Neurospora crassa OR74A: one gene and its partners. The protein of the gene in region 1 purifies or fractionates together with the protein of each later gene. This does not show direct contact. Links are inferred from orthologs where the notes say so. Each region holds a gene or a part of one and is shown in the gene's direction. Other genes may lie near its edges. The genes, in order: NCU07011, NCU03952, NCU09843, NCU04348, NCU09437, pod-5 and NCU08668.

The links.
Region 2: the proteins of NCU07011 (region 1) and NCU03952 purify together in Saccharomyces cerevisiae (affinity purification with mass spectrometry; 4 studies listed by BioGRID, with this or other methods). This does not show direct contact. The link is inferred for Neurospora crassa OR74A from reciprocal best matches to the Saccharomyces cerevisiae genes UTP21 and MPP10.
Region 3: the proteins of NCU07011 (region 1) and NCU09843 purify together in Saccharomyces cerevisiae (affinity purification with mass spectrometry, with the first as the bait; 4 studies listed by BioGRID). This does not show direct contact. The link is inferred for Neurospora crassa OR74A from reciprocal best matches to the Saccharomyces cerevisiae genes UTP21 and UTP15.
Region 4: the proteins of NCU07011 (region 1) and NCU04348 purify together in Saccharomyces cerevisiae (affinity purification with mass spectrometry; 3 studies listed by BioGRID). This does not show direct contact. The link is inferred for Neurospora crassa OR74A from reciprocal best matches to the Saccharomyces cerevisiae genes UTP21 and BMS1.
Region 5: the proteins of NCU07011 (region 1) and NCU09437 purify together in Saccharomyces cerevisiae (affinity purification with mass spectrometry; 5 studies listed by BioGRID). This does not show direct contact. The link is inferred for Neurospora crassa OR74A from reciprocal best matches to the Saccharomyces cerevisiae genes UTP21 and UTP22.
Region 6: the proteins of NCU07011 (region 1) and pod-5 purify together in Saccharomyces cerevisiae (affinity purification with mass spectrometry; 6 studies listed by BioGRID). This does not show direct contact. The link is inferred for Neurospora crassa OR74A from reciprocal best matches to the Saccharomyces cerevisiae genes UTP21 and UTP13.
Region 7: the proteins of NCU07011 (region 1) and NCU08668 purify together in Saccharomyces cerevisiae (affinity purification with mass spectrometry; 3 studies listed by BioGRID). This does not show direct contact. The link is inferred for Neurospora crassa OR74A from reciprocal best matches to the Saccharomyces cerevisiae genes UTP21 and ESF2.

Annotation. Positions count from the first base shown.
Region 1 is NC_026504.1:4,898,662-4,902,610, forward strand, and holds the start of NCU07011 (WD repeat containing protein 36), read left to right. Parts: upstream 1-1,149; 5' UTR 1,150-1,213; coding exon 1,214-1,351; intron 1,352-1,413; coding exon 1,414-3,949. UniProt on the Saccharomyces cerevisiae protein: Involved in nucleolar processing of pre-18S ribosomal RNA and ribosome assembly.
Region 2 is NC_026506.1:2,220,895-2,225,172, forward strand, and holds the start of NCU03952 (U3 small nucleolar ribonucleoprotein Mpp10), read left to right. Parts: upstream 1-1,478; 5' UTR 1,479-1,887; coding exon 1,888-4,266; 3' UTR 4,267-4,278. UniProt on the Saccharomyces cerevisiae protein: Involved in nucleolar processing of pre-18S ribosomal RNA. Required for the early cleavages at sites A0, A1 and A2 during 18S ribosomal pre-RNA processing.
Region 3 is NC_026505.1:5,923,452-5,927,558, reverse strand, and holds NCU09843 (WD repeat containing protein 57), read left to right. Parts: upstream 1-1,325; 5' UTR 1,326-1,507; coding exon 1,508-3,178; 3' UTR 3,179-3,607; downstream 3,608-4,107. UniProt on the Saccharomyces cerevisiae protein: Involved in nucleolar processing of pre-18S ribosomal RNA. Required for optimal pre-ribosomal RNA transcription by RNA polymerase I together with a subset of U3 proteins required for transcription (t-UTPs).
Region 4 is NC_026504.1:3,692,681-3,696,772, forward strand, and holds the start of NCU04348 (ribosome biogenesis protein), read left to right. Parts: upstream 1-1,292; 5' UTR 1,293-1,392; coding exon 1,393-1,471; intron 1,472-1,529; coding exon 1,530-1,600; intron 1,601-1,666; coding exon 1,667-4,092. Other genes in the region: NCU16822 (hypothetical protein), read right to left, coding at 17-163. UniProt on the Saccharomyces cerevisiae protein: GTPase required for synthesis of 40S ribosomal subunits and for processing the 35S pre-rRNA at sites A0, A1, and A2.
Region 5 is NC_026507.1:182,558-186,819, reverse strand, and holds the start of NCU09437 (hypothetical protein), read left to right. Parts: upstream 1-1,462; 5' UTR 1,463-1,547; coding exon 1,548-4,262. UniProt on the Saccharomyces cerevisiae protein: Involved in nucleolar processing of pre-18S ribosomal RNA and ribosome assembly.
Region 6 is NC_026505.1:1,894,631-1,898,871, forward strand, and holds the start of pod-5 (polarity defective-5), read left to right. Parts: upstream 1-1,441; 5' UTR 1,442-1,534; coding exon 1,535-4,241. Other genes in the region: NCU03627 (hypothetical protein), read right to left, coding at 1-919, 976-1,008. UniProt on the Saccharomyces cerevisiae protein: Involved in nucleolar processing of pre-18S ribosomal RNA.
Region 7 is NC_026504.1:4,159,950-4,163,268, forward strand, and holds NCU08668 (pre-rRNA-processing protein esf-2), read left to right. Parts: upstream 1-1,363; 5' UTR 1,364-1,537; coding exon 1,538-2,102; intron 2,103-2,176; coding exon 2,177-2,634; 3' UTR 2,635-2,819; downstream 2,820-3,319. Other genes in the region: NCU08669 (betaine aldehyde dehydrogenase 2), read right to left, coding at 1-366, 426-830. UniProt on the Saccharomyces cerevisiae protein: Involved in the small subunit (SSU) processome assembly and function, and in the 18S rRNA synthesis. Required for the early cleavages at sites A0, A1 and A2. Stimulates DBP8 RNA helicase ATPase activity.

The DNA of each region.
Region 1 (3,949 bases):
AGCAAGAGGGAAAGGCGGCATGTGGGCAATTTCCATAAACGGACCCGGTAGTACCTACTAGTCCCAATTCTGAACGTCTACGTGTAAGTGCATCTGGATCCCACCATTAGTTCATTCCCTTACACCGGAGTTTTGGTAGCTCATGGCAGAAAGGCTGGCACTTTCTCGGGTACTACATGGCCATCAACCGAATGAATGGTCGTTAGAATACACTTTTCATGCTACCTTTGGAAACTAGACTAACTCTCAGGCAATTTTGCATGGAGAAATTCCCAGGTAACTCTGGCTGATGTCTTTTCGACTTTTTTTTTTACCATCCCTCTCGAAATTCTGTGATGGCCTTTCCTGACTAAAGCGAGCCGTGTTGGACTGTCTAATTCGGTTATATTTACAGCCACTTCGTCGTCATAACTGGAGGTCCAGTCTCTTTCGTCATTGGCGTGCTTGGATAGACACAGGAAAAAAAAAACCTCTCTAGTGATCGACAATGATGGACACCAAAGAGCCCATTGCGCGTTGACTACTGGTACCAGAAGGTGGGTGTCATGCCAAACTAAACCCTTGCTGGCGCCCTATGATATACTGCGATAGCCGCAGAGAAAATCCAGAAGAACGCTGAAGGTGGGTGTCATTGCGAACCGTATGCCGTGGTACCTCTATGGGTGGACGACCTGAGGTGGGTTCGATGGACGGGATGATGACGCCGCAGGCAACCTAGCATTTCGACGCTGAAGCGGACAGGGGATGGTGATGCTGTGCTGTGCTGTGCTGTGCTGTGTTTCACAAGCAAGAGCTTTTTCGCCCAGTTGGCGGGGCAGATGGAGGTGTGGGGTTTACTGCAGTTTGGAACACAGTCTCGACTTCTGCGATGATGGGAAACGGTAATCCCGGTAACTGAAAGGCTGCAAAATGCGGCCGGGATCGCAGGAGGTTCCTACTATGCAGTACACAGATACACAGTGCTGGATTTAAGCTCTGTGGGTCCTAGCCAGACGGTGGTCCCACATGCGTCCAGCTTTCATGCTACCCCACATGGCGAGGCAGACCAATCACATGAAGCTCCCACTTGCCTGCCCCAACCGACCCCAAACTGTGGCTGAAAATTTCTGGTCCACCGCGACAAGGCTACTATTATCGAAATCTTCAAACTGCGACTTTCAACAAGGCTTTGCAACTGAAAGGCATTCGCAGACATCGTGGTAGTTGGCAGCATATGCCACTCGACGACATGATGCCGCATTCCGATCGCGAAATCACATCCGCCAAGCGGCAGAAGCTCAATGCCTCTGTCGTCAAGTCCAAGGCGCCTCAGAAGAAGAAGAAGGGTTCCTCCATCTTTGCTCCCTTCAGAGTACGTCCCTAATAGCCGGTCGCATGAAGTCCTCAAACTAACACCAAACTCACCACTCATAGACTGTAGGCTTGGTATCTCCAACAAGCGTCCCCTTTACCTCCATCCCTCTCGGCAAGACCACCTTCCAGATCACTACCTCGGTCGGCCGCTCCCTCCAGACCTATGACCTAAAGAGAGGTCTCAATCTCGTCTTCGTTACCCGCCCCCAGACTCCCGCCGACATTACCGCCACATATGCTTGGAAGGAAAAGGTATTCGCCGCTTGGGGTAACCCTCAAAATGGCGAGGCCCAAGGTATCTGGGTTTATCAGCGCGGAAAGAAGGTAGCCGAGCTTGAGCTGCCCGCCGACCTCAACCAGCCCATCAAGCAGATCCTCATCTTCGGTTCCTGGATTGTTGCATGCGCCCAAACCCGCCTCGAAGTATGGAAGTCGGCCACCCTCGAACACTACACGACCATCTTTTCCGTTGCCGCAAAGAAGGGCGACAACGAGCTCACTGGTGGCGTAGTCAACATGCCTACCTTCCTCAACAAGATCTTGGTCGGTCGCAAGGACGGTTGGGTAGAGATCTGGAACGTCAGCACCGGCAAGCTCATCTACACCATCCTTCCGCCCTCTCCCGACGCTGGATCTGTCACCTGTATGGAGCCTACCCCGGCACTTTCGCTTCTCGCCATCGCCTACTCGAACGGCCCTCTCGTCATCCACAACGTCCTTACCGACAAGGCCTCCCTCAAGTTGATGGCCGGATCCGAACACGCCCCCGTTACAAGCATCTCCTTCCGAACCGACGGTCAGGGTGCTGGTCAAGATGGTACAAAAGATGGCGTCATGGCTACCGCCACAAGCATTGGTGGAGATGTCACATTCTGGGATCTCAACAAGGGCGGCAGAGTGATGGGTGTACTCCGGAGCGCCCATAATCCCCCATCACACACCGACAAGACTGTGCGCGGAGGCATCAGCAAGGTTGAGTTCCTCCCAGGACAGCCCGTTATCATGACCAGTGGTTTGGACAACTCGCTCAAGTCCTGGATCTTCGACGAATCGCCCTTCTCGCCCGTCCCCCGTATCCTTCACATGCGCAGCGGCCATGCCGCCCCCGTCAACTGCCTGCAATTCTTGCCAACCGATTTCGATGGCGCCGAGGCCGGCAACAAGTGGCTTCTCAGTGGTGGCAAGGACAGGAGTCTGTGGGGCTGGAGTTTGCGCCGCGATGGCCAGAGCTCTGAGCTCAGTCAGGGTGCTCTTCGCAAAAAGGCCAAGAAGGTGGGTATTCTTGCTAATACCGCCCTCGGCGGCCACGGCCCGACTACATCTTTGGACGACCTCAAGGCTCCCGAAATCACATGCATCGCCTCCTCGCTCAACCGCGATGGCGGCATGGGCGCTATGCCCGGTAGGCAGGTCATCTGGGACAAGGGCAATGACAAGAGCAAGCCGACCAAGTCCGAGCTCGCTGCTATGACCGGCTGGGAAAGCGTAGTAACAGCTCATAAGAACGACCCCTGGGCTCGCACCTGGTTCTGGGGCCGCAAGCGTGCTGGTAGGTGGGCGTTCAAGACCGGAGATGGCGAAAATGTTTCTACCGTGGCTATCAGCCCTTGCGGCAGTTTCGCTCTTGTTGGCTCCGTTGGTGGTAGCTTAGACATGTTCAACCTCCAATCCGGCCGTCACAAGCAACGCTTCCCCTCCCGACTCACTCCCGCCCAGATGCGCCAGTTGAAGATGCAGCAACTTAAGGCTCTCGACAAGGTGAGCCAGCTCGAGAAGCGCGCCTCCTCCAAGACCTCCTTTGCCCCCGGCTCGGGCAAGCACACCAAGTCCGTAACCGGCATCGTGGTCGACCCGCTAAACCGCTTCGTGATTTCCTGCTCTCTCGACGGCACCGTCAAGTTCTGGGACTTTGTCACGGGCAACCTAGTCGACGAGATTGACTGGGCGCCCATGGTGCAGATCACGGGCTGTCGCTACCACGCCGGCAACGATCTCATCGCTTTCGCGTGCGACGACAATTCGATCCGCGTTGTCGACATCGAGACCAAGCAGACCATCAGAGAGTTCTGGGGCTGCCGCGACACCATTAACGACTTCACCTTCTCCAACGACGGCCGGTGGATCGTGGCCGCCTCGCAGGACCGCGTCGTCCGCGTCTGGGACCTGCCGACGGCTCACCTCATCGACGCCTTCCGGCTCGAGAAACCCTGCACCGCCATCGCCTTTTCCAACACGGGCGAATACCTCGCCGGCGCCACCGAGGGCGAGCTGGGCGTGCACATCTGGACCAACAGAACGCTGTTCAGACACGTGCCGACCAGACAAATATCCGAGAAAGACATTGCCGAAATCTCGGCCGGACCTACCAGCTCAGGCGAGGGCGGTCAAGGTCTCATCGAGGCGGCCTTTGAGGATGAACAGGAGGACGAAGAAGATGAGGGCGTGTCTGCGCCGGTCCTCGATCAGCTCAGCGCCGACATGGTGACGCTCAGTCTGGTGCCCAAAAGCAGGTGGCAGACGCTGCTGCACATTGACCTGATCAAGCAGCGCAACAAGCCCAAGGAGCCGCCCAAGGCGCCTGAGAAGGCGCCCTTCT
Region 2 (4,278 bases), on another chromosome or scaffold:
CTCTCACCCTCACATAGAGCCTGCCAGAAGGGAGGCGGATATGGAAAATAGAAAAGAATGAATCGGCCCGTCCGGATTTTCACAAGGAGATCTCCTTCGCTTGACAAATTAGGTAACATCCGGCAACTCAAAAGTATTTCCCGTCCCTCCATCTCGACGTATCTTCCAGCTCTGTAACCAAACAGTGTGCGATTGGCAGTTACATAGTGTGAGCCAACCGAAACTTCTCTCGCGACCTCCTGTACGACTTTGGAAATGTTGCCGTTAACTTGGCCATTCTACTCTAGGTAGGTAGCAGAGATAGATGGTGTGATGCGATTGGACCGAGCAACGCCACTTAGCGATCAAGTTCATGTGTCGTACTATACAGGAGGCCACTGACACTTGATGGGATCCTCGCCGTTCACGACAGCAAGTTAGTGGTTACATAGCAAACATCTTCACCGTGAGGTTCACAGTTATTTCCCGGCGAACATGAAAAAGAGGTCATATTGAGAGCACGCAACGCACGACCATAGAGGCTGGGATCACCAAAGCCACCATCGCCCTCACATTGACCTCGGCAACCGCTAAAGAACATGATACAATTCCCTGGCCTGGGATACGAAGGTCTTGAGTATCACTCGCAGCTCGGCTCGGCGGGACACTCTCCCGCGAGTTGCATTCAATGAAGGCTTAGACGGTCCAGACCCTAATGCAGCACGTCAACGCTGCTGTCGTATTTTGAAAGAATACCTCATGGTCCGTCAAAATTCTCACGGGCGATACCATATGCATAGGGATGTGGCTTGTGAAGGAACTTCAACAAGTGTTATGACTTGCAGCATCTTTCCCCGAAGGTGCGCAAATAACACCCTTACATTTCTACTATGTAATAAGAGCTTTCTCTGCACGTTATCCAGACCATGAAGAAGAGCCGGCTGGGTAAGTAGCCTACCTCTACAGAAAATAGTCCATCAACGTCTGTCGCAGAGATCTCATTACGATGTTGAAAAGAACACGAGAAGCATACTGTAATGTAGCTAGTATGAGGCAAACCTAGCGCTCTTCCTCAATGGGGTTAATCGTTGGTTTAACATTTTACAGTTCTTGCACAATTTAATTACCTTTTACCGTTTGACAAGAAACTTCCAGTTACGACGAAAGTGAAGCGGCGAAAGATACAATAGACTATGTACGAGCTGATGGGATTGATAGGGTAGTCTGGAATTTTAGATAAGGAAGTGCTGATAACAAGCTAGGTGCCTGTGTCGAAACGGCGACTTCACCTATCCAACAGCACTGGAGATCGTTGCGTGATTGCTTACTGAGTTTCCAGTAACTTCAGAGTAACTCGCTAGCGTATGCTATATTTAAAAAAAGGTCATTGTGAATTCATCCCCTCTCTCAAGCTTGATGTCGAGCATCTCCTTTGAGACTGCATGCACTTTGTGGTTTGTTTACTTGACATTGTCATCCGATTATAAGTGTTAAGGCAACCTCGTCTTATAGCGGTGCACCGCCCTGAAGCTTAACAACAAGAGAAGTGGGACCTACTTCCATTTCCAGAGAGCAGAATCACCCATCATTGGTCAATTCACAGCCAGCCCCATAAGCTGGTGCGGGGACGCCTGCCTCCACGCTTCGCCGTTTCCTGGACCTTGGAGAGCGCTATGGCAGAAAAAATTTTGGTCCATCAATATCGCCGGCTGGCAACCAAACATCGTCAGGTCGAACTTTTTTTTGTTTTGGTACGGGCAACGGCAAACACCGACGCCCTGCCATTTCTTAGTCAAGCGTCCATATTGAACCCTCAAGTCAGACACTTGTATGACAAGGCCAGCCTCGATACCCTAGCCTTGATTGATCTTCTTACAGCATTAGTCCAACCCTACCTAAAAAACAGACATGGCAGCTGGCAGCATAACCTCTTCCGTAACCTCGACATCCCAAACAATCACCCACGACCCCTCCACACACAACAGCGTCATGGCCGCTACCCTCGCCGCATCGTCGAGCGGCAGCACCTCTCCTTCGACAATTGCCAACAACCCCGTCGTCGCCTCCTTCCTCTCGGCCCTGGCCGACGAGTCCAACCGCCACGTCTTCCTGCAGCCGCCCTCGACCCTTCCCGCCGGATCCCTCCTGCTCGCCAAGGAGACCCTCGACGCGCTCGCCTCGCAGGTCAGTGACCACCAGCAGGCAAAGCTGAAAGAGATCGCGGCCACCATCGGTGGAAAGAAGCGCAAGCGTGAGGCTGGCTATGACAAGAATGCCGTGCTCAAGATTCGCAAGCTGCACGTCGACGACGGCTTCGAGACGGAGCAGATTTGGCAGCAGGCCAAGAAGATCATTGCCAGCGCCACAAAGGAGGCTGGCGATGTGCTGAAGGAGCTGGAGGAGAACGGGATTGTGGGCACCGGCGAGGAACAAGAGAAGACCATTGAGTTTGGAGAGGATGGGTTTGAGCTTGGTTCTGATGAGGAGGAGGAGGACGATGAGGAGGATGCTGATAGCGAATCTGGTTCTGGCTCTGAAGGAGAAGAGGATGAGGAGGATGACGAAGAAGAATTAGAAGGAGAAGAGGGCAGCCAGATCGACGACGATGAAGAAATCGAGATCGATGGCGAAGAGGTTGAATTCTCGGACGAAGATGGAGAAGGAGAGTTTGATGAGGAGGAGGAGGAAGAAGAAGAAGAAGAAGAAGAAGAAGAAGAGGAAGAGGATGCGCCAGAACTTGTCGAGGATCCCAACGGCCTCAACGACGGCTTCTTCTCAATAGACGACTTCAACCGGCAGACACAGTTGTGGGAGGACGCGGATGCCCGTGCGGACCCCAACGTCGATGCCGACAGCGACGACGAACAGCTAGACTGGCACGCCGATCCTTTCGCGACAAAGCCAAAATCAAAGAAGGGCAAGAGCGACAAGAAGAAGGACGAAGACCAGGATGAGGACGACGTCGACATGGGCGATGAATCCGAAGACGACGAGGCCCTCGAGGCTGCTGCCGCCGCCCACGCCAAGAAACTCAAGGGCAAGAAGAACGTGGAGCAGCTCGAGGACGATGGCGACGATCTCGGCCTTACAGATGGTGTTCTCGGTATGGACATGGACCTTACCGCCAACGACATTTACTACAAGGACTTCTTCGCGCCACCTCAAAAGAAGAAGACCGGCAACCAAAGGAAAGGAGGCTATTTCCCCAAGAAACTTGAGCAGCCAGATGAGGCCGATATGGAGAGAGCCGAGAATGATGTGCGCCGCGATCTCTTCGACGACATCTCGGAGAATGAAGATGAAGATAAGCTCTCGGATCTTGATGCTGGTGATCCGAGATCTCGCCGGTCCGCCCACGAGCGCAGACAAGCCAAGATTGCCGAGGAGATCCGCAGGCTCGAGTCTGAGCTAGTTGCCAAGCGCGCCTGGACTCTGTCCGGTGAGGCTTCCGCGCAAGCTCGTCCCATGAACTCGCTCCTGGAGGAAGACCTCGAGTTTGAGCATGTCGGAAAGCCTGTCCCCGTCATTACCGAGGAGGTTTCCGAGACGATTGAGGCGCTCATCAAACGCCGCATTCTTGCCAACGAGTTCGACGAGGTTCTCAGGAGACGTCCTGACACCCTCAATAACCCCAACAACGCGCGCCGCGGTCTCGTTGAGATCGACGACACCAAGGGCAAGCAGTCTCTCGCCGAGATCTACGAGGAGGAGCACATCAAGAAGGCCAACCCGGACGAGTACGTCAGCGCTTCGGACGAGAAGCTCACGCGCGACGAGGCCGAGATCAAGAACATGTGGAAGGACATCTGCGCCAAGCTCGACGCCCTCAGCAGCTGGCACTACAAGCCTAAACCCGCCGCACCCACCATCAGCGTTGTCACCGACGTCGCCACCGTCGCCATGGAGGACGCCATGCCCACCACGGCCCAGGGTGTGTCGGGTGGCGAGAGCACGCTCGCGCCCCAGGAGGTGTACGCCCCCGGCAAGGACTCAGTCGAGAAGGGCGAGGTCGTGGCCAAGAGCGGCCTGCCGATTGCCAAGGAGGAGATGAGCCGCGAGGAGAAGGCTAGGAGACGCAGACGCGAGAAGGAGCGCATCCGCAAGGCCGGCGGCCTGGATGCGAACAAGAACATCAGCAAGGGTGCCCAGGAACGCAAGGAGACGATGAGCCAGCTCAAGAAGGGCGGTGTCAAGGTTATTAACCGGAAGGGTGAGACGGTTGGGTTGGATGGCAAGAAGATCGCGGAGCAGAAGGGTCCTACGTCGAGTGGTGCCTTCAAGCTTTAAAGGTCGGGTTGT
Region 3 (4,107 bases), on another chromosome or scaffold:
GGTGTTAGAAAATAAAATAAATAAAAAAAGGAATGAAAGGATACACGGCATGTCTCTGTCCGCTATTCTTGTATCTATATCATGAATTAGCCGTGATCTAAACCTCTAGGCCTAGGTCTCAAGGAGAATTCGAGTAGGAGTAGTACCATGTCTCTAGCAGCAGCAGCAGTATGGGTAGGTATCAGCGGGCCTCCCCGTCGTCGTCGTCATAACTTATACTATCCAACTATGTTAAAGCACCAGATTGTAGATAAAGACTAGAACTTCAGTTTGACAACCTGAACACTTTGGTGGCCCTGAGACTTCATTGTGTTCCTTCTCCTTCGTCGGTCATCCGCCTCGGGGGTGCAGTGTCTTCAACCTCATCTGCTCGGCAACTGAGTTGCAGTCATGACAAAGAAATTAATCATGTGATCGGATGAGAAGCGAGTTTCACATTGCTTTTCTCCATCACGACGAGCAGCCAGCGCGTTTGATGATCTCCGAAGTTTGATCTTTTTTTCTTTTTCTTTTCATCTCTTGATGATTTTGTTTTCTCATCTCAAAGTCACGAGTAAAAAAAAAAAAACAAACTGCGAGTAGCCGGCTTGTGACGTTGGTGTTTTTGTTGCACAAACCGTTATCAGTTTCATACGAGTTGTCCAGGCGCTTGTTATTGACTGAATGGAGTGTAAAGAGAAAAGGTTGTGACTTGTAATTGATATTCTCCGTCTTCACTCTAAGCTTAGCTCATGGTTCAAGTAGTTTTCATACGCGCTTCGTTATAAATACATCTGTGGCTAGATAAAACATTCAAGTCATCATCAATACGCACGCTGTTGTTGTTGTTGTCAGCAACAGGTTACTAGACTACCAACTCGCTACCATTTCGAGGCCAATGCTCCAGATACACATCCCTAATGACATGTTAATCATAGATTCACATACCGAGGAGATGATGATTGTCAATGAGCGTGTCATGCATCAAAATACTCTTGGATTTTTACTCCAGTCAATTAATTATATGTCAGTCGACTGTCTCCAGTTGATAAAGGCGACAACTTACACGACTTACAATCACGACGGCGGGGATGCAGCACGATAAGATAACGCCAAACATTCACACGACATGGAAGCCCAAGCAGACCAATCAAAAGAAGGAACTTGTGAAGAGGACGGGACCCTGGAAGCTTGGCGTTTTCTGGCCTGGGGCTGGTCACTATGGTACCTAGTCGCTGTAGGTAAACTTTATCGGCTTGGCGGGGCCTCCAATCGATGGCTCCAACCAATGGCTTTTGCATCGCATCGCCGTCAAAAAAACTAAAATTCCCACTTGGAGATTTCAACAATTCGTGAACTTTGAGCCCCGCAAAGTCACCACCACGACAAGACCTCGACGCGTGCCTCCCTCCCCCAATCCGATTTCGACCCTAATCGACTTCCCCCGATTCCGATAACCGAGTATCCTCTCTTCAACACTACCCGAACTAGACGGAACGAACCTACCACCCATAACCAATCCGTAACCATGGCAGCCGAAGTGCAGCCGCTGGCGACGCTCAAGTTGCCCACGGTCGTCAGCCCCATCACGGCCGAGCAGCGCTACTGGAAGTCCTTCAAGAACCAGAAATCACACACCTCGACGGCAGCATGGCCCATCTCGCACATCAGCTTCCCCGGCTCCAGCAACGGCTCGGCCGCCTCGCACTCCCTCGTCGCCGCCGCCAAGACCAACGACCTCTTCGCCGTCACCTCGGGCCCCCGCGTCGACATCTTCTCCATCCGCAAGCGCGAGCTGCTCAAGACCATCGGCCGCTTCGACTCCCAGGCCCACAGCGGTGAGATCCGCGCCGACGGCCGCGTCCTCGTAGCCGGCGAGGACTCCGGCAAGATGCAGGTCTTCGACGTCGGCACCGGCACCCGCGCCGTCATCCTCAAGACCTGGCACGTCCACAAGCAGCCCGTCTGGGTCACCAAGTGGTCACCTACCGAGCTGACGACGCTCATGTCCTGCTCCGACGACAAGACGGTCCGTCTCTGGGACCTGCCCTCCAACGCGCCCTCGCGCCTGTTCGCCGGCCACCAGGACTACGTCCGCAGCGGCGCCTTCATGCCCGACCGCAACAACCTCCTCGTGTCCGGCTCCTACGACTCGACCGTCCGCGTCTGGGACGCCCGCGCCCCCGCCGGCTCCGTGCTGACCTTCAAGCACGCCGACCCCATCGAGGAAGTCCTCCCCTTGCCCGGCGGCACCACCCTCTTGGCCGCCACCGGCTCCGCCATCTCCGTCCTCGACCTCGTGGCCGCCAAACCTTTACGCCTCATCACCAACCACCAAAAGACCGTCACGTCACTCAGCCTCGCCTCCAACGGCCGCCGCGTTGTCTCCGGCTCTCTCGACGGGCACGTCAAAGTCTTTGAAACCACCAACTGGAACGTCGTCTCCGGCTCCAAGTACCCCTCGCCCATCCTCTCTCTCTCCGTCGTCGCCGCTGGCTCAGGCCACGAAGACCGCCACCTAGCAGTCGGCATGCAATCCGGCGTTTTGTCCTTGCGCACCCGTTTGTCAGGCGCCACGGCGGAGAAAGCCCGCGCCCGCGCCGCCGAAGACGCGCTCATGGTTTCAGGTGCCTCTTCCAAGCTCGCCAAGATCGACTCCGCCAAAGCCAAGCGCAAGCGCAACGCCGCCTCCAACAAATCCATGGCCTTGCTCGGCGAAAACGTCGACGTGATCATCCCCACCGACGCGCCCAACTCCGCCGGAGGCCGCAAGCGCCGCGTCAAGCTCAAGCCGTGGCAGCGCGACTTTCGCGAGGGCCGGTACGCCGCCTGTCTGGATGCCGTGCTCGACCTGTCCTCTCCGGAATACCAGCCCGTGACGGCCCTGTCCGTGTTGGTGGCGCTGCGCCACCGGTCTGCCCTCCGCGAAGCCCTGGAAGGCCGCGACGAAGTTACTGTCCTGCCTTTGTTGAAGTGGGTCATCAAGTACATCTCGGATCCGCGGTACGCGACCGTGTGCGTGGACGTGGCGTTCCAGCTGTTTGATATCTACAGCGAGTACGTGGGCGGCAGCTCCGAGTTGGCGGATCAGTTTGCTGTGATGACGGGTAAGGTGAGCAGGGAGGTGGAGAAGGCGCAGATGGCGATTATCACGAATGGTATGGTGGAGAGTTTGATGATTGGTGGTGCTGAGGCTTAGGAAGCTGAGCGAGCTTCGGACAAGGCCCTTGAGGCTGCAGTTTGACCAGAAGAAGGTCATGATGGTTGGAAGGGAAAGGGAATGGAAAGATACGGATGAGCTGTGTGGATGGATGGAGCATAAGAAAGATGTAAAGAACGGATGGGATGTGTTGTTATACCACAAAGCAGGAAGGACGGGGAAGGGGGAAAAAAATGGAGAGGGTAAAGGATCCCGGATGTGTTGGTTCGGTTTGGTTCGGTTAGGTATCATGGTTTTTTCTTGATATCAAGCCCTGCATGGCGTCGGCGTTCAAACATTCTTTTTTGGCTTTTTGTACTAATCTGGGCTCACAAAAGTATACATACGGTCACATAAAATAAGGGGTTGGGACTAGATACCTCGAGATAGATACCTTAGGAGAATCAGTAAAAGCCATTCCAAATGCCAGGCTTATTGCGTGACCATGGACTCTTCTGGACGACGCCACCACGATCAAGAGCTTTATTGCAGTGTCAACATTCAGCGTATCCAATAGAATTATGACTATAAATGACAACGTAAACATCTCGCTCCAAAGTCCTCGCTGAAGATCGCTTCAACTTTCCACTTAGTCATAGTCCTCCCTCCTGACTAGGAGAATAGAATGAGATACAGAAAGAGTCTCTCCGGTGAGCCACTCACCACCCTCTGGTATCTGGCCAGACATCGAAAAGAACTCCCGGTCTGCCTCTGACGCCTGCTTTTCCAAGTGCCTTCCTAGGGCTGACTGTTGACAGCCCGACCAGAACTGCTGTCCCACTCTGTCATTGAAGACCGCCTCAATGGCGAGCCGTTCCCTTCTCGGGGGGTTTCCAACACGATAATACTATGTCGTCGTCTTTTCTGTTTTTTGCAGCCAAGGCATCAACCCAAGATGTGTTTGAGCATCAGATGCTTGCCGAACCAGC
Region 4 (4,092 bases), about 1.2 Mb from region 1:
AGTGCGGCATGCTTACAATGTAAGAAGGCATCTTTGCGGTGGTGGGAGGGTTGTTTGGTGAAAAAGTTGGTGTTGCTGTATGGAAATGTTGAAACAGAGTGTAGTGGTTGGTCGTGAACTTGGAAAGTCGGTACTGCGTCTCGAGGAGCGGACGAAGGAGCATCTTATACGTGATCAAGGGACATGCACAAGTGGACTCGAACTACCTACACCACAGATGCACATGTGCCAGATAAGCGGCAATCATGCTAGATTGGTCTTCCTGCCACGCCGTCAGGAGCCACAAGTGACGCGGCACCAGGGACATTAGCATTCTCTGGAGCGGATGATACGTCATATCCACTTGGACCAGACTTGCTGCGCCTACCGCAGGTCGTTTTGTGACTTGTGACACTCTTTTGGCTGCCAGGCGTGGGGATGACAGAGACAATCCTTCATCTCAGCGCCCAACAAGACAGCCTTGCACACAACCACCTAACGAGCGCTTAGGCGCGGGCTGAGACACTAGGAGTGGTGTGGGAGGATGGATCCAGTCATCTTCCGACCATCTTGCTACTCAGGATCTTGGATGTTGTTACCTATCTGTTGTAACTCTGAGCCTAGCCTATACGCCATACCCTCCTCATGTGTGTAAATCGGAAACCCTCCTTCCCGCGACAATTACGTATGTAACCCTCAAAATGGTGTGTTATGCAAGAAGGGCTGCCATGGCCCATGGCTGTTTGACTTTGCGGGCCCATTCGACGTTCCTATGTCGAGGCCGCAAGTTATCAACTATGATAGCTCTTTCATGGTCTCGACTCTTCTTCAACCGTTTGTTGGGAGGTCCCTGAACAATCCAATGCATTTACATAGCGTGGTATGTAGTCTCCACCAGTGAGGGAGGGCTTGGTACAATAGAGGTAGTTAGGTTGGTCATGCTCAAGACAGCACAAGATATCTCAACCACCCAACGGAATATCTTCGTATAAACCTTTGGAAATAGTTACTCCGAAGACACAGCTCACCCAGTAGTTGGTTGAAGATAAGAAACGGGACTATACGTTGGGTTCGTCTGTTGTTCAAGGTTCCAAGACTTGAAGGTCGGGACTGCCTGTCAGGGTCTCCAACTCCCCGCATGCTGCCACTGCTTAGTAGCGGGTGCTGCCGGGGATAGGTCCCGTCGCCTGCCGCGGAAAGAGGTCCCACTATTCAGGTATCTTATCGCTTATCGATAAACGTCTTGGCGTTCCATCAGAAAACCGACTATCCAAAAAATTTGGACAGCAGCTTTTTGGCAGCAGTTGAATTGGGAGCGAGTCCCGTCGCATTTCCACTTGCACCTGTTTTCGCGACCGCGTGTCCATCTATACTACTGAACTTGCAAAAAGTTCACGGACACCAGCCGTAATCATGGCCGACGTCCAAGCCCACAAACCCCATCGGGCTTCCAAGAAGTCCAAGGAGAAGGGGGCCTCCAAGCATACAGGTGGTATGTGTATTCAATTGTTTCTTTTATCGTTACTATCCACAGCTGACCGTCCCTGCAGAAAAGAACCCCAAGGCCTTTGCCTTCTCCAATCCTGGTAAACTCGCCAGACAAGCCGCCAGATCCCACGATGTAAGAAGACATTCCCTCGCTCCATCCTTCAATGACTTCTTATAATTAACTGGTCTTGTTCCGCAGATCAAAGAGAAGCGTCTTCATGTCCCCGCCGTCGACCGTCTCCCCGATGAACCACCCCCAAGACTCGTCGCCATCGTAGGCCCCCCTGGCGTAGGAAAGACCACCCTTCTCAAGTCTTTCATCCGACGATATGCAAAGGAAACCATCCAAGATCCGGTGGGACCTATCACGGTCGTCACCTCCAAGAAGCAGAGATTGACCTTCATCGAATGCGCCAACGAACTCGAGGCCATGGTCGATATTGCAAAGGTCGCCGACATTGTCCTTCTCATGATCGATGGAAACTTCGGCTTCGAAATGGAGACTATGGAGTTCCTTAACGTTCTTGCCGCCACGGGTATGCCCGGCAACGTCTTTGGCATCCTCACCCATCTCGACCTGTTCAGGAAGCCCCAAGCACTAAAGGAGGCAAAGAAGAGGTTAAAGCACAGACTTTGGAGCGAACTCTACCAGGGTGCCCACCTTTTCTACCTTTCCGGTGTCCTGAACGGCCGTTACCCCGATCGCGAAATCCACAACCTCTCCCGCTTCTTGTCCGTCATGAAGAACCCCCGCCCGCTCGTTTGGCGCAACTCCCACCCTTACACCATCATCGACAACTACCGCGATGTCACCCACCCCACCCAGATTGAAGAAGACGAGAAATGCGACCGAACGATTGAACTCTCCGGTTACCTCCGTGGTACAAACTTTTCCGCCGAGGGCCAAAGGGTACATATTGCTGGTTTGGGCGACTTTACAATCAAAGAGATGGAACAATTGCCGGATCCTTGCCCGACTCCCGCTATGGAACAAGCGCTGGCCAAGGCCAGTGGCAAGACTGGCAGAAGGCGACTCGACGAGAAGGACAAAAAGCTCTGGGCGCCCATGGCGGACCGCAGCGGCTTGAAAATTACTGGCGATCACATCGTTATCACTAGGGAGAACGGCTTCACATTTGACAAGGATGCTGTGGGCATTGAGCGCGGCGAAGGAGAACAGCTCATCATCGACCTGCAGAACGAGAGGCGTCTCCTTGGTCAAACGGACGAGGGTGTCAAGCTGTTCGCGAGCGGACAAAAGATCAACCAGCTCCCTGTCGAGGACGAGGATGTCGGAAACACTGGCCGCAAGAGCCGAAGAACCGCCAGACTTGCCGATGGTGAGAGTGGTGAACCGCCAGAGGACGAAGGCTTCGAAAGCGGAGAGGAAGATGAGATGGAGGATGGATCCGATGTCGAGTCCGAGTTCAACGAGATGAAGCTGGGCAAGATGTTCAGGAAACAGACCGACGACGACCAAGAAGAGGACATCGCCTTTGCCGACAGTGACTCCGACCTTGGTTCGATATCCGGCGATGAAGACCAAGGATCCGACTTTGACGATGACGAGGACGACGAGGAGGATCCTGAGCTCAAGTGGAAGGACAACATAATGGAGCGCGCAAGTCAGATACACGGAAGGAGGAAACCCTTCCGCGCTGTCGACTTGGCGAGGTACATGTACGACGAGTCGATGGCCCCCACAGAAGCCATCAAGAAATGGGCCGGTCAAGACGACGAGGAGGAGATCGAAGAGAATATCGAAGAGGACGACGAAACCTTCTTCCGGAGGACTGGCAAGGAGGACAAGGAGGACTCTTGGGAGGATCGCATGATTCCCAAGTTCGACTACGAACAACTAGAAGCCAAGTGGTCTGACAAGGACGCTGTCGAGGCTCTCCGAAACAAGTTCGCCACCGCCAACCTACTTGACGACGCTGAGGGCGAGGGCGAAGATGGTTCGGATTTCGAGGGTCTTGATGACGAGGACGACGATGATGAAGGTGACGGTGCCTTTGAGGATCTCGAGACAGGGGAGAAGCACGGCGCTGACGACGAGGATGAAGAAGAAGAAGAGGAGGAAGGAGAGGAGCAGCCAGCAGAAAGCCTTGAAGCCGAGCGTGAGAAGAACGCCCGCCGAAAGGAGGAGCTCAAGCTTCGCTTCGAAGAGGAAGATCGTGAAGGTTTCAAGAACGACAAGGCGATTGCCAGGCGAGAAGGTGGCAATGATGACGAGTTTGGAGAGGACGACTGGTATGATGCTCAAAAGGCCATGATCCAGAAGCAGCTCGACATCAACAAGGCGGAATACGAGAACCTTGATGAAAGCCAAAGGATCGCTGTCGAAGGCTACAAGGCCGGCAAGTACGCCAGGATGGTCATCGAGGGTGTCCCAGCAGAGTTCGTCAAGAACTTTAAGCCACGGATGCCGATCGTTGTCGGAGGTCTTTCGGCCACGGAGGACAGATTCGGCTTTGTGCAAGTTAGAATCAAGAAGCACCGTTGGCACAAGAAGATTCTCAAGACGGGAGATCCCCTCATCTTCTCCCTCGGCTGGCGCCGATTCCAGTCTCTTCCCATCTACTCCATCTCTGATTCTCGGACGAGAAACAGGATGCTGAAGTA
Region 5 (4,262 bases), on another chromosome or scaffold:
GGTAATAAAGGTCGTAAGGTATATAAGTACTAAAATTCCTTTCTAAAATCACACTATTCTAATACGCAATATAATTTATCGATAGCGAAAAGACTAATCCGTTTATAGAATTCTAGGGACCGCAATACAGCCTTAAATTTCGTACTTATCGTAAGTTCCGGGCTCAATAGAATATAAGTATAATCGCCGCATTAAATTTAGTCCCAAATATCCCAGTTCTATATATAAATTAATAAAGGTACTTAAGATTCGTAAAAAAGGGCAGAATACTTACTTTTAAAGTCACATCTTTATTTACCTATACTAGCTTTAAATCTAGCACTTTAGTAATAATATTATTATATTAACTTTCTCCAAACTTAATTAACAGTATAATCTATATTGTAATTTTATTATATAAAGCTAAAAATATATATAGGACAATACTTTTTCCGTAGCCCATTACTGCGACTAATATTATATCCTTCTATTCGTACGCCAACCGTACTACCGCCTTAACCTAGCCTTTTCGAGGGTCTTTACTATTACTAATAATATCTTTTATTACCCGCAATATACGCTAGGGGTCAACGGAGGGATCGAAATTAGGATCTATAGTATTAATACCTATAGAGGATAGAAAAAATTAAGGAAAAAAAATAACGTACTATAGAGTAAAGAAAACTATACTACTATATTAATAGTCGTATAATATCTATACCTACAAAGTTTTATAGTATTGGGATAAAAAGCCGTACTGTAATATATAGCTAACTAGGCATTGAATATACGGACTTACGTAAAGTTTTTACATTTTCTATAATAATTAATACTTTCAATAGTCGTAGAAAAAAATTAATAATACCATTAAATCCGTCTCAACGAACTCTTTCTCCTCATATCTTTTGTATAACCTAAATCTATTGTTTTATTTTAACGCTATATTATCTTTCTTAGAAGTTTATCAATATAAATTCCCCTATCCGCTTCTAGTCTAATTGGGAATTCAAACCTCTTTTTTAGGCGTTCTTATTCAATACCGGAAAGTATACTAAAAGAATGGGTACACGGATCACAATTTAGAAACTTTAGTAACTTTCAATTTATTATTTTTTTTGAGAACCCCGGGCGCGCAGCGCACGGGCCAGATGTGCGCGCAGCGCACTTTCCCAGCGGCCGCAGGCCGCCCATGCCTAAAAAAGAGGGTCTGATTCTGAGATAAGGGCCGGGCGCTCACTGTCTGTCAGTTGAACCCCACAGGGGCAACCAACCAACATTGCCCCACCCGACTGCCCCTGTCGGGTCTTCCACTGCCCCTGTTTGTGGATTGACCTCTTATCTCTTATCGGAGCTCCAGAGTCTCAAAAAATTTGGGAATTCCCGTCGCAAACTTGAACGAGACTCGAATTTGCAGAACTTCAATTGGAGGGACGACGCTCGGTCCACTGTTGTTTGGCTTTCAGTGCTCTCTCTCTCAGTGTCTTGTCACTATCAATTTCCTGTCTCCATTCCCAGGACATCCTCCTCCACCATCACCATCATATACCTATACCACCGCCACACATACAATGGAACCCGGATCAGCAAAACGACGCAAGATTGGCCATTCACGCGGCGGTGAAAGCGCAGTTGGCAACATCGACGCCGCTGCCTCCTCGGGTCTCTCGCGTGGCCGCGCATTCATCCTCGAAGCCGAAGAACTCGTCGACGAAGTGAAGCTCGACTATGCCACGGCCCTCGAAGGCGTCGACTCCCTCCTCCACAAGATCAAGGGCTCCATCGAAGCCATCGAAGCCCACGATGCCCTCCAGATCGCCGAGGCTGCCACCAAACTCGAAAAGAAACACAAGATCCCGATCCCGTTCCCCGAGCCGCGCCCGTCCGACAAGTCCAACTACAAGGTCGCCTTCGCAAAGCCTTCCCAGTTCAACGTTGTCGGCAGCTATGTGTCCAAGACCATGATCAAGGCCCAAAAGAGCCATGCTGTGGATATGGTGGTTGTGATCCCCGGCGAGACTCTGCAAGAGAAGGACTACCTCGACCTGCGATACTTTTACAAGAGAGCCTACTTCCTCGGTGTTGTGGCTGCTGCCCTACAAAAGGACCTGGCTGATGATGGAGAGCTTTCATACGAATACCTGAATGGGAACACCCTGTCCCCCATTTTGTCGTTGAAACCAAAGGTGGAAGGAGAAAAAAAGGAGGGCCAGCTGGACTACAGAGTGCGCATCATCCCTTGCGCCCCAGACAACTTCTTCCCCAAATCAAAGCTTCACTTGGGCGCTACCCTCGTGCGCAAAGCTGGCGGTGACGAGTCCAAGGCCGCGACCAAGCCTACGCCCTTCTACAACTCGACGATTGTTTCCGAGTCCTGCTTCTTTCCCTACTTGAAGCTCTTGCGACAAACCGAAAAGAAATGCGCCGCGTTCAAGAAGGCTTGCATCCTGGGTCGGGTGTGGTTGCAACAACGAGGACTGGGAAGCGATATGGCGGACGGTGGTTTTGGTCACTTTGAATGGGCGGTACTTTTGGCCCTTCTGCTCCAAAGCGGCGACAGCACCAAGGGACATGCGCCCTTGTCTACATCCCTGAGCGCCACCCAGTTGTTCAAGGCCATGGTCCAGTTCTTGTCTGTTACTAACCTGTCCGAGAAGCCGTGTGTTTTGGGAACTGCCACCGTCGAGTCCGAAACCACTGGTCCGGTTCTCTTCGACGCTGTTCGTGGTTTGAACGTTGCCTTCAAGATGAGCAACTGGTCTGCGGCCAAGCTACACCAACACGCCAAGTGGACAAGGAGCCTTCTCAACGACAGCACTGCCGACCAGTTTACCCCTACCTTCATCCTCAAGGCCGACCTCCCCTGGCAAAACTACGACCTCATTGCCCACCTCAACTACGATGGAAAGCAGGACAAGACAGAACCGATTGACTGCCGGGGACGGCTATGGGAATACAGCGACAAGGTGCACAGGGTTCTCAAGCGGGCTCTTCAGGACGAAGAACTAGGTGAAAGGGCTCGGTCGATTCACATTCAACTACCCAAGAGCTCATCCTGGGATCTCACCAAGAAACCCTCCACCAAGCAGAACCACACAATCGAGATTGGTGTCCTCTTCAATGCCGCCAACATGACCCGCTCTGTCGACCGCGGTCCGGCCGCTGGACCTAGCAACGAGGAGAAGGAGGAATGCGCCAAGTTCCAGCGGTTCTGGGGTGAGAAATCGGAACTTCGTCGGTTCGAGGGTGATTCTATCAGGGAGACCTTGATCTGGTCGTCCACCTCCCCCTTTGACCTCTGCGAGGAAATTATGCGCTACATCCTCAAGCTCCATCTTCGCGTTGGCTACCTCGAGGACGAGCTCACCTTCCACGGCGATGGCTTCACCGAGTTGATTCCTATCAAGCCGACCGACACCTCCGTCTTCAACGCCGCTCGCAAGGCCTTTTCCTCCTTCGAGAAGGATATCCGCGACTTGGACGACATGCCGCTGCACGTCAGGCAAATAGCCCCCATCTGCCCCGAACTGCGACACGCCTCCGTCAAGGTGCCCTTCTCGACCGTCAACAAATCCGGCCCACGCCCCCTGGAATGCGTCATCTCCTTTGAAGCCTCCGGCAAGTGGCCCGAATCCATCGTGGCCATCCAACGCACCAAGATCGCCTTCCTGCGCATGATCGGCGACCTCCTGGAGCGTTCCAAGCCCGGCGAGGTCCGCTCTTACGTCGGTCTCGAGTCCTCTACCACCACCAACACGGAACTCGAGAACCTCGCCTACCTCGACATCGTCTACGAGTCCGGTCCTGCCTTCCGCCTGCGCATCCACTCTGACCTCGAAGAGGCCCTCCTCACGCGCCAATCGCACGACAAGACCATCGACCAACACCACCGCCACCAAGCCTCCGTGCTCCTCTCCAACTTCCGCAGACTCTACTACCACCTCCCTCTGCACACTCAATCCATCAACACCTTCGCCACCCGCTTCCCCGCCTTCTCGCCCACCGTCCGCCTGCTCAAACACTGGTTCTCCTCACACAAACTCGCCTCCCACTTCACCCCCGACTTCATTGAACTCGTCGCCCTCCAGACTTTCTTGAGCCCCTACCCCTGGGACGCACCCTCCTCCCCTTCCGTCGGCCTTCTCCGCGCCCTCCTCTTCGTCAGCAGATGGGACTGGCGCTCCGAGCCGCTCATCGTCGACACCAACAGCGACATGCCATCGTCCGAACGCTCCGCCATCGCCACCCGTCTCGAAGCCTGGCGCAAGATCGATCCGCTCATGAAC
Region 6 (4,241 bases), on another chromosome or scaffold:
TTGGTGTCGGTGTTCGTGGCTGAGTTTCTTGTCGCTGTTGCTGCTCTTCTGGTGTGGGTGTGGGAGGGATGTATGTTCCACTGGGCGGTTGTAAATAGGGGACTACCTCCTTAAGAGTCCTCCTCCTGCTGAAGTTGATGGGTTTGGGCAAGCGTCGTTGGATTTTCCGCCTAAGTGACCAGACGAGCCGGGCGTATGTCTTTGAAAAGAACCAGTAGCCGGCAAAAGGGGCGATACCGGCGACAAAGGCGCCGAGCCAGCTGATGATGCTTCCAGGGGTAAAGGAGGATGGGAGTTTTGGTAGGAAGATTGGGGAGTCATTGCAGCCTGGAATGAAGAAACCAAGGGTGGGAACCCATCTCGAGGTGTTCACAAGGCCGGTTCGTTGCATGAAGACGAAGATCTCTAGGTGTAAGTTGACCCAGGAGAACACGTACTTGACCCATGGGTATTCTGGCATGTCGAATCCAGCAAAACTATCGCTCAGGACATACGATGGCAGCCCGGCCCAGAGGTACTCTCCCCATGACTGCTGGCGCCTGTGAAAGTGAAATAGACGAGAAAAGGGAACATGGGCGTAGTCCTTGTACAGCAAGATACGCTGCCTCAAGCCGTTGACTCCCCAGACTCCGACGGTGGCCAAGACCTCGCCGGTGAGGAACAGCTTCCTCCCAATTCCATCTTCGTAGTACTGGTGCTTGGTGGCGGCTTCGTATAGAGCTTGGGCCTCGTTGATGCCACTGTCCGGTTCGGCAACGCCGATGACCAGCATAACCTCGTTGTGAGAGCGGATGATGTCTCTGTTGATGCGCCGTGTCTCTGGATTCACTGGTCGTCCTCGGTCATCATACAACTGCTCTGGGGCCCCGGGTTGGGGCTCGCCAGTGCCCTCAACTACCTCATCGTAGGGAGACCGGCCCTGTCCTTAGTGTCAGAACGAAGTTGTAGCCCGAAAGTCTTGCAACGATGACTTACAAGGGCCTGTGATGTCAGTGGGCCCAACCGCATCGTGAAAGGGTCAACTGGATTCAGGAGGTGTTTGTAGATTACTATCCGGCATTGCCAAGATGTTTATGTGTACATTACACGGTGAAATTTGACCAGTCAGTGGCCATCCTCGTGTAACAAACTAGGTCCTGTGCCAGAGATTGTGTTATGGTGAAGATAGTGGTGGTATAGCTGATGAGTGATGGAGACTGGAACAGACAGTTGACGTTGGTGGGGGCGATTGGGGAGCACAGAAAGCCGAGGGAGGGTCATGCTCCAGTTGCTCCAGTGCTCCAGCGTGGTTCGTCACGGATTCCTACAGGGGTTGGATCTGCATGGCGCTAAGATAACCTTATTGCCTGGCCTTATCAGCGGGCGGCAGGCAGCGACCCGCGAAAAGTTTTTGGGATTGGGGACTTTGCAGTGTACCACCCTACACTTGACGTTCTAACAGCAGAACCCCAAAGGCGGCGGCGCGCAATCGCAACCCTCCTTGCCTCTCTGTTTGATTTAATCCACTTGTACAGCCAGACACTCCGTCACCACAATGGCGTACAGGCAAACCACCACCAAGACGACCTTCGAGGTCAACAATGTCATCCAGCCCATTTTCACAGGAGGTTCCGTAGCCCTCGACAATGGCGCTAGGATCCTCGCGACCACCCTCGGCGAGCAGGCCGTCCTCACAGAGCTCAACACCGGCAAGCAGCTCGCCGAGATCGAGGGCGACGGAGAGCCCATCTCGACCCTCACCATCACCCCTTCGGCCTCCCACCTGATTGTCTGCTCTCGTTCTCTTACTATGCGCATATACTCCCTCAAGGTCTCACCAGATTACGATTCCATCGAAGCCACCCTTGTACGCACCACGAAGCCCCACGCCACCCCCGTCGTGGTTCTCGCGGTCGACCGAACTAGCACCCTTCTTGCCACCGGTGCTGCCGACGGCGCCATCAAGATCTGGGACATTGTCGGAGGATACGTTACCCATACCGTTAGCGGCCCGAGTGTCCTTATTTCTGCCCTCCACTTCTTCGAGATTGCCGCTCTCGAGGACCAAGCCAGCAACAAGAACAAGAAGAACAGGCGAAAGAGCACAGCCGAGGAGGAGCAAGCTCAGGATGACAGCGTCGCTTCAAAGTTCCGTCTTGCCTACGGCACACAGGACGGCAAGATCCGCATCTTTGACCTCAGCAAACGCAAGACCTACCCCGTTTACGCCGACCCGACTTCGAGGAGAGAAGCGCACGAGTCCAACGTACAAAGCCTTGACTACTCACCAGAACTACATGCCCTTCTCAGCGGTAGCAGAGATAAGACAATGACAGTATGGCTGTGGAAGGAGGGGACATGGAGGGGAACACCCATGTTGCGCCATGAAGGCGTTGAAGCTGTCGGCTTCCTCAACAACGGAAGCTTGATGTATTCGGCTGGAACAAGTGGCCTACTTAGGCTATGGGACACAACCACACACCAAGAAATCACAGCAAAGCAAGACGCCAAGTCGGAAGCCGAGTCGATAGTGTCAGCCCTTGCTCTTCCCCACAAGAACCTTGTTGTTTGCGCCCAGTCTGACTTCACCCTCGCCCTCTACCGCACACCTTCGGTCGCCGATGCCACCAAGAAGTCGACGAAGCCTCTGGAACCCTTCAGGCGCATCTCGGGAACACACGACGAAATTCTCGACCTTGTTTACCTTTTGCCCGATCAGTCTCTCATGGCTCTTGCAACCAACTCCGAAGATATCAGACTTGTATCCGTGGCGGATAAGCAGCCCCAGCTGGGCGACGAGGAGGAGGGCGCGGCATACTTTGGCCATGACGTAGCTCTACTCAAGGGACACGAGGATATTGTCATGTCTCTCGATGTAGACTGGTCTGGCCACTGGGTTGCTAGTGGTGCCAAGGATAACACAGCTCGCCTCTGGAGGGTTGACCCAGCCAATAACTCGTTCGAGTGCTATGCAGTCTTCACTGGCCACATCGAGTCTGTCGGCGCTGTCGCACTCCCCAAGATCGTACCTCCCGAGAACTCGGAGGCGTTCAAGAACCCCCTCGACCACCCGCCCGCATTCCTCATTTCCGGTTCCCAGGATCGGTTCGTTCAGAAGCGTGACATTCCCCGAACATCACAAAAGGGAGCCGTCTCAACCAGTCTCCGTCGCTTAGCCCACGAGAAGGATATCAACGCTCTCGACATCAGCCCCAACGGAAAGCTTTTTGCCTCGGCATCACAAGACAAGACGGTCAAGATCTGGGATTCCGCAACATTAGAAGTCGTAGGTATCCTCAAGGGTCACCGCAGGGGTGTCTGGACGGTTCGGTTCGCGCCTCAGGGCATGCCTGCCATTCAAGGCGAGACCGGCACTGCTGTTTCCGGTAAGGGTGTAATCTTGACGGGTTCTGGTGACAAGACCATCAAGCTCTGGAACCTCTCGGACTACACCTGTCTGCGCACATTCGAGGGCCACTCCCATAACGTCCTCAAGGTTGTTTGGCTGCGCCTTCCCAAGGCCGCTGACGACGCTGAAGACGAGGCTGCTGCTGCCGCCTCCAAGGCCAAGCAGCGCATCCAGTTCGCCTCTGCGGGCGCCGACTCCCTCGTCAAGGTCTGGGACGCCAACCTTGGTGAGACCGAGTGCACGCTCGATAACCACGAAGACCGTCTCTGGACGCTCACGGTGCACCCCAAGACCAATATGCTTGTGTCTGGTGGTTCCGACTCCCGCGTAACCTTCTGGAAGGACACTTCGGCTGAGACCCATGCCGCCGCGTCCTCGGCCGCCCTCAAGCTCGTCGAGCAGGAGCAGCAGCTCGAGAACTACATCCACGCCGGCGCCTACCGTGACGCTATCATTCTGGCGCTGCAGCTCAACCACCCCGGTCGTCTCCTGGGTATCTTCACTAACGTGGTCACTACCAACGCCCCCGAAGAGGGCTCTCTCTGCGGTATCAAGGCCGTCGATCAGGTGCTTGGTAACCTCTCCGACGAGCAGATTTTCCTGCTCCTGCTGAGGCTGCGCGACTGGAACACCAATGCGCGCACGGCGCCCGTGGCGCAGCGCATCCTCTGGGCGCTCGTCCGACTCTACCCTGCCAACAAGTTCTCCAACCTGTCGGTCAAGGGCGCAAGGGGACAGAAGAGTCTGAAGGAGGTGCTCAACGCGTTGAGGGTGTATACTGAGAGGCACTATAAGCGCATAGAAGAGCTGGTGGATGAAAGTTACCTTGTTGAGTATACTTTGCAGGAAATGG
Region 7 (3,319 bases), about 740 kb from region 1:
GTCGACAATCTCTTCGGCAGCCCAGGCAATATCGACATCACCGCGAACATATGCAGGATCCTTGCCACCCAGCTCGAGGCCGACGTTGACGATGCGATCGGACGCGGCCTTCTGGACGGCCAGGCCACCAGCAACCGAGCCGGTAAAGCAAATGTTGGCAATCTTGGGGTTTCGCACAATTGTTTCAATCACTGTCGGCGAACCCGAGTGGAAGTACTGGATGACTCCGTCGGGCAACCCAGCCTCGGAAAACACCTTGGCCACCTGCTCGACAATTGTGGGTGTCTGAGGCGAGGGCTTGAGAATGACCGAATTTCCAGACAATAAAGCGGGAATCAAGGCGTTGACGAGAATAAGATAGGGGTACTGCGCAAAGTTAGAGGTGACGGATGGAGTGTCAAAACAACATGATGGACACCACTTACGTTCCAAGCAAAGATGATGAGAACAGGACCAACAGGCACCTTTCGGATGAACCTCTTGAATCCCTTCTCCTCCTCGCCATCGGTGTCCTTCAGAGCATCGTTGCTGATCTTGAGCAGATACTCTGAGCGCTTGATGGCAGTGGCAACCTCCTTGGCAGTATAAGCAATGGGGCGGCCCATCTGGACGGTGAGTTCCTCTGCAAGTTCATCCTGCTTCTCGGCCAGCAACTTCAAGGCCTTCTTGACGATGATCTGTCTGTCCTCCAACTTGGTAGTGCGCCATCCTTGGAAGGCCTTGAAGGCAGTCTCGGGCAGTTGGACGAGTTCCTCCTCTGAAATGCCATTGCGAGTGATGATGGGTTCCCCCGTGGTGGGAGAGATGGTGGTGATCACCTCGACCGACATTGTTACAAGTAGGCTTATCGGCCAGGTATCGAGTGATAAGGATGGTGAAGTGGGATGCAGTGTTGGTTGTCACAAGGAGGAAGAGCGAGTCAAAGGGAAAGAAAAGACACAGTTCAGTTACTCTAGTACTTAGTACTATAATTCGTTATACCTTCCACAAGAAGAAAAGAGCAAACCGACTTGATTCCCATGACCCAATGACACCATGTCGCCCCTCCCGTCGCCGTCTCACTAACAAACAGGAACACGACATCACACTGCCGCACACAGAGTGGCTCCCGCTCCGTTTCTCGGCGGCAGGCCGGGGGAGCTTTGATAAGATAAAGAGTTGTTGGCAGCGCGGGGTCGGGTCTGCAGTGTATGAACTCCACCTCGGAAGGAACCTAAGGCGGGGACGGGATCAGCCAACCTGAACTTCCATTCCCATTCATACTTTGTTATCTCTTATCGGCCCTGCGTGCACGGTCCCTTCCTGCCTGTGGCCCCCAGTGGAGCCAGAAATTTTGAGAAACAGCAGCAGCCATGTCCGTCCAGCGCTTCCACGCCAAAAGAAGACTTGCGAATCGCGTCGTGATCCTTCTCCAACGCAAACAAACACCCGACTGCCCTAAATCTCCCCATAACGACCCAATCATTCAACCTACGAAACTTTCAGCATACAACAAAAAGTCCACCAATTAGAAACACAAGTCAATCATCCATCGACAATGCCGGAGGACGATGTCAGAAACAAGTTCCTCGATGCTGGCGATAGCGACGACGATGCGGGCCACGGTTCTGACTCGGAGGATGATTTCCAAAAGGGTGGCCGTAACGCCAAGCGCAGAAGAGTGAGCGATGACGAGGACAGCGAAGCCGACGACTTTACCGACGCAGAGGAGGAACACGACCAAGATGATGCTGAAAGCAAGGATGCACCTGCAAAGGACGGCCAGGAAACAACAGATGGAAAGGAAAAGAAGGATGGAAAGAAGGAGAAGGAGAAGAAGTCGGTACTAGCGAGTGACCTTCCGGGCATGACGAAGCCTCTCACAAAGAAGAATCTCATCGTCACGGAGGAGGCCATCAAGAAGTCGGGAGTGGTGTACATCTCCAGGGTACCACCTTTCATGACTCCTGCCAAGTTGCGCTCCCTGCTGGAGCCGTACGGAAAGTTGAATCGCATTTTCCTGGCCCCCGAGGACCCAGTTGCGCGACGCAAGCGCATTCGCAGCGGAGGCAATAAAAAGAAGATGTTTACAGAAGGCTGGATTGAGTTTGTCAAGAAGAAGGGTAGGTCTTCATTCCGTGAGACTCGCTGAGACCCAAGTACAAAGACGCTAACAAGAAAACCCGTTTGTTTGCAGACGCCAAAAAGGCATGCGAACTCCTCAATGCCCGTCCAATCGGAGGCAAGAAGGGATCCTACTACCGCGACGATATCTGGAACTTGCTCTACCTCAAGGGTTTCAAGTGGCACAACCTGACCGAACAAATCGCTGCTGAGAACGCCGAGCGATCCAGCAGAATGCGCGCCGAAATCTCCAAGACAACCAAAGAAAACAAGGAGTTCGTCCGCAACGTGGAGAGGGCCAAGGTGCTGCAGGGCATTCAGGCAAAGAAGGCGTCCAAGGGCAGCAAAGCGGGCGGTGAGGGTGCCGCCCAAGTCACAGAATCTACTATTCCCTCGGCGGCGGCAACGACGACGACGACAACAAACGACGATAAGAGGAGAACATTCAAGCAAATACCCTTGGCCAAGAAGAGGAAGCTCGATGAGACACAGCCCGAGCAAGTACAAAGAGTGCTCAGCAAGATCTTTTAACCTTCTCGTTTGGCCCCCGAACAATAGGTTTGAGACACGGAGCGTTCATGTACCTGTGGGATTTCTGTCGTCAAAGCGACTCCGAGACATTAGAGATGGGTGGTGTTGATTTTCTTTCCCTTAGGCAATTGTATATATTTTTCTGCCTTCAGTCATCTTGATACCCAACCTGATTTCCTTTTGCTATGAGAGCATCTCCATTTCCGTCACTTTGTCATATCCCTACTTATCGACGCTGCACAGAAACCGGCCGGCGTTTGGTTTAATTGGCCCACCATGAGCACATTCCAAATCCCAGCCACGAGGAAGAGTGCCCCTGACGATACGGTCAACACTCGATACAACTTCACCAATTGTCCTGTCGCAAATGCTGTCAAAAGGGGATCATATTTAACGACTCACCCGACTTACGCCCTTCGCATACTTCAAGGACTCATCCAGCGTATGCTTGACGTAGATGAGGAAGGTTGCGAACATTTCTCAAAACGTCGCCTGGACACCATACTCCAATATACGTCCTGGTCAAACTATATCATCGGGCATATCCGCCAAGACCGCTCTTGTCGTTATTTGAGTGAAGATCAGATGCACAAGTTCTTCCATGCATGTATTCAAACGGTCGAGGATGGCTGTACCCTGTGGGAACATATATACCTTTTGAAACCTAGTTGCTGTGCTGGGCGTG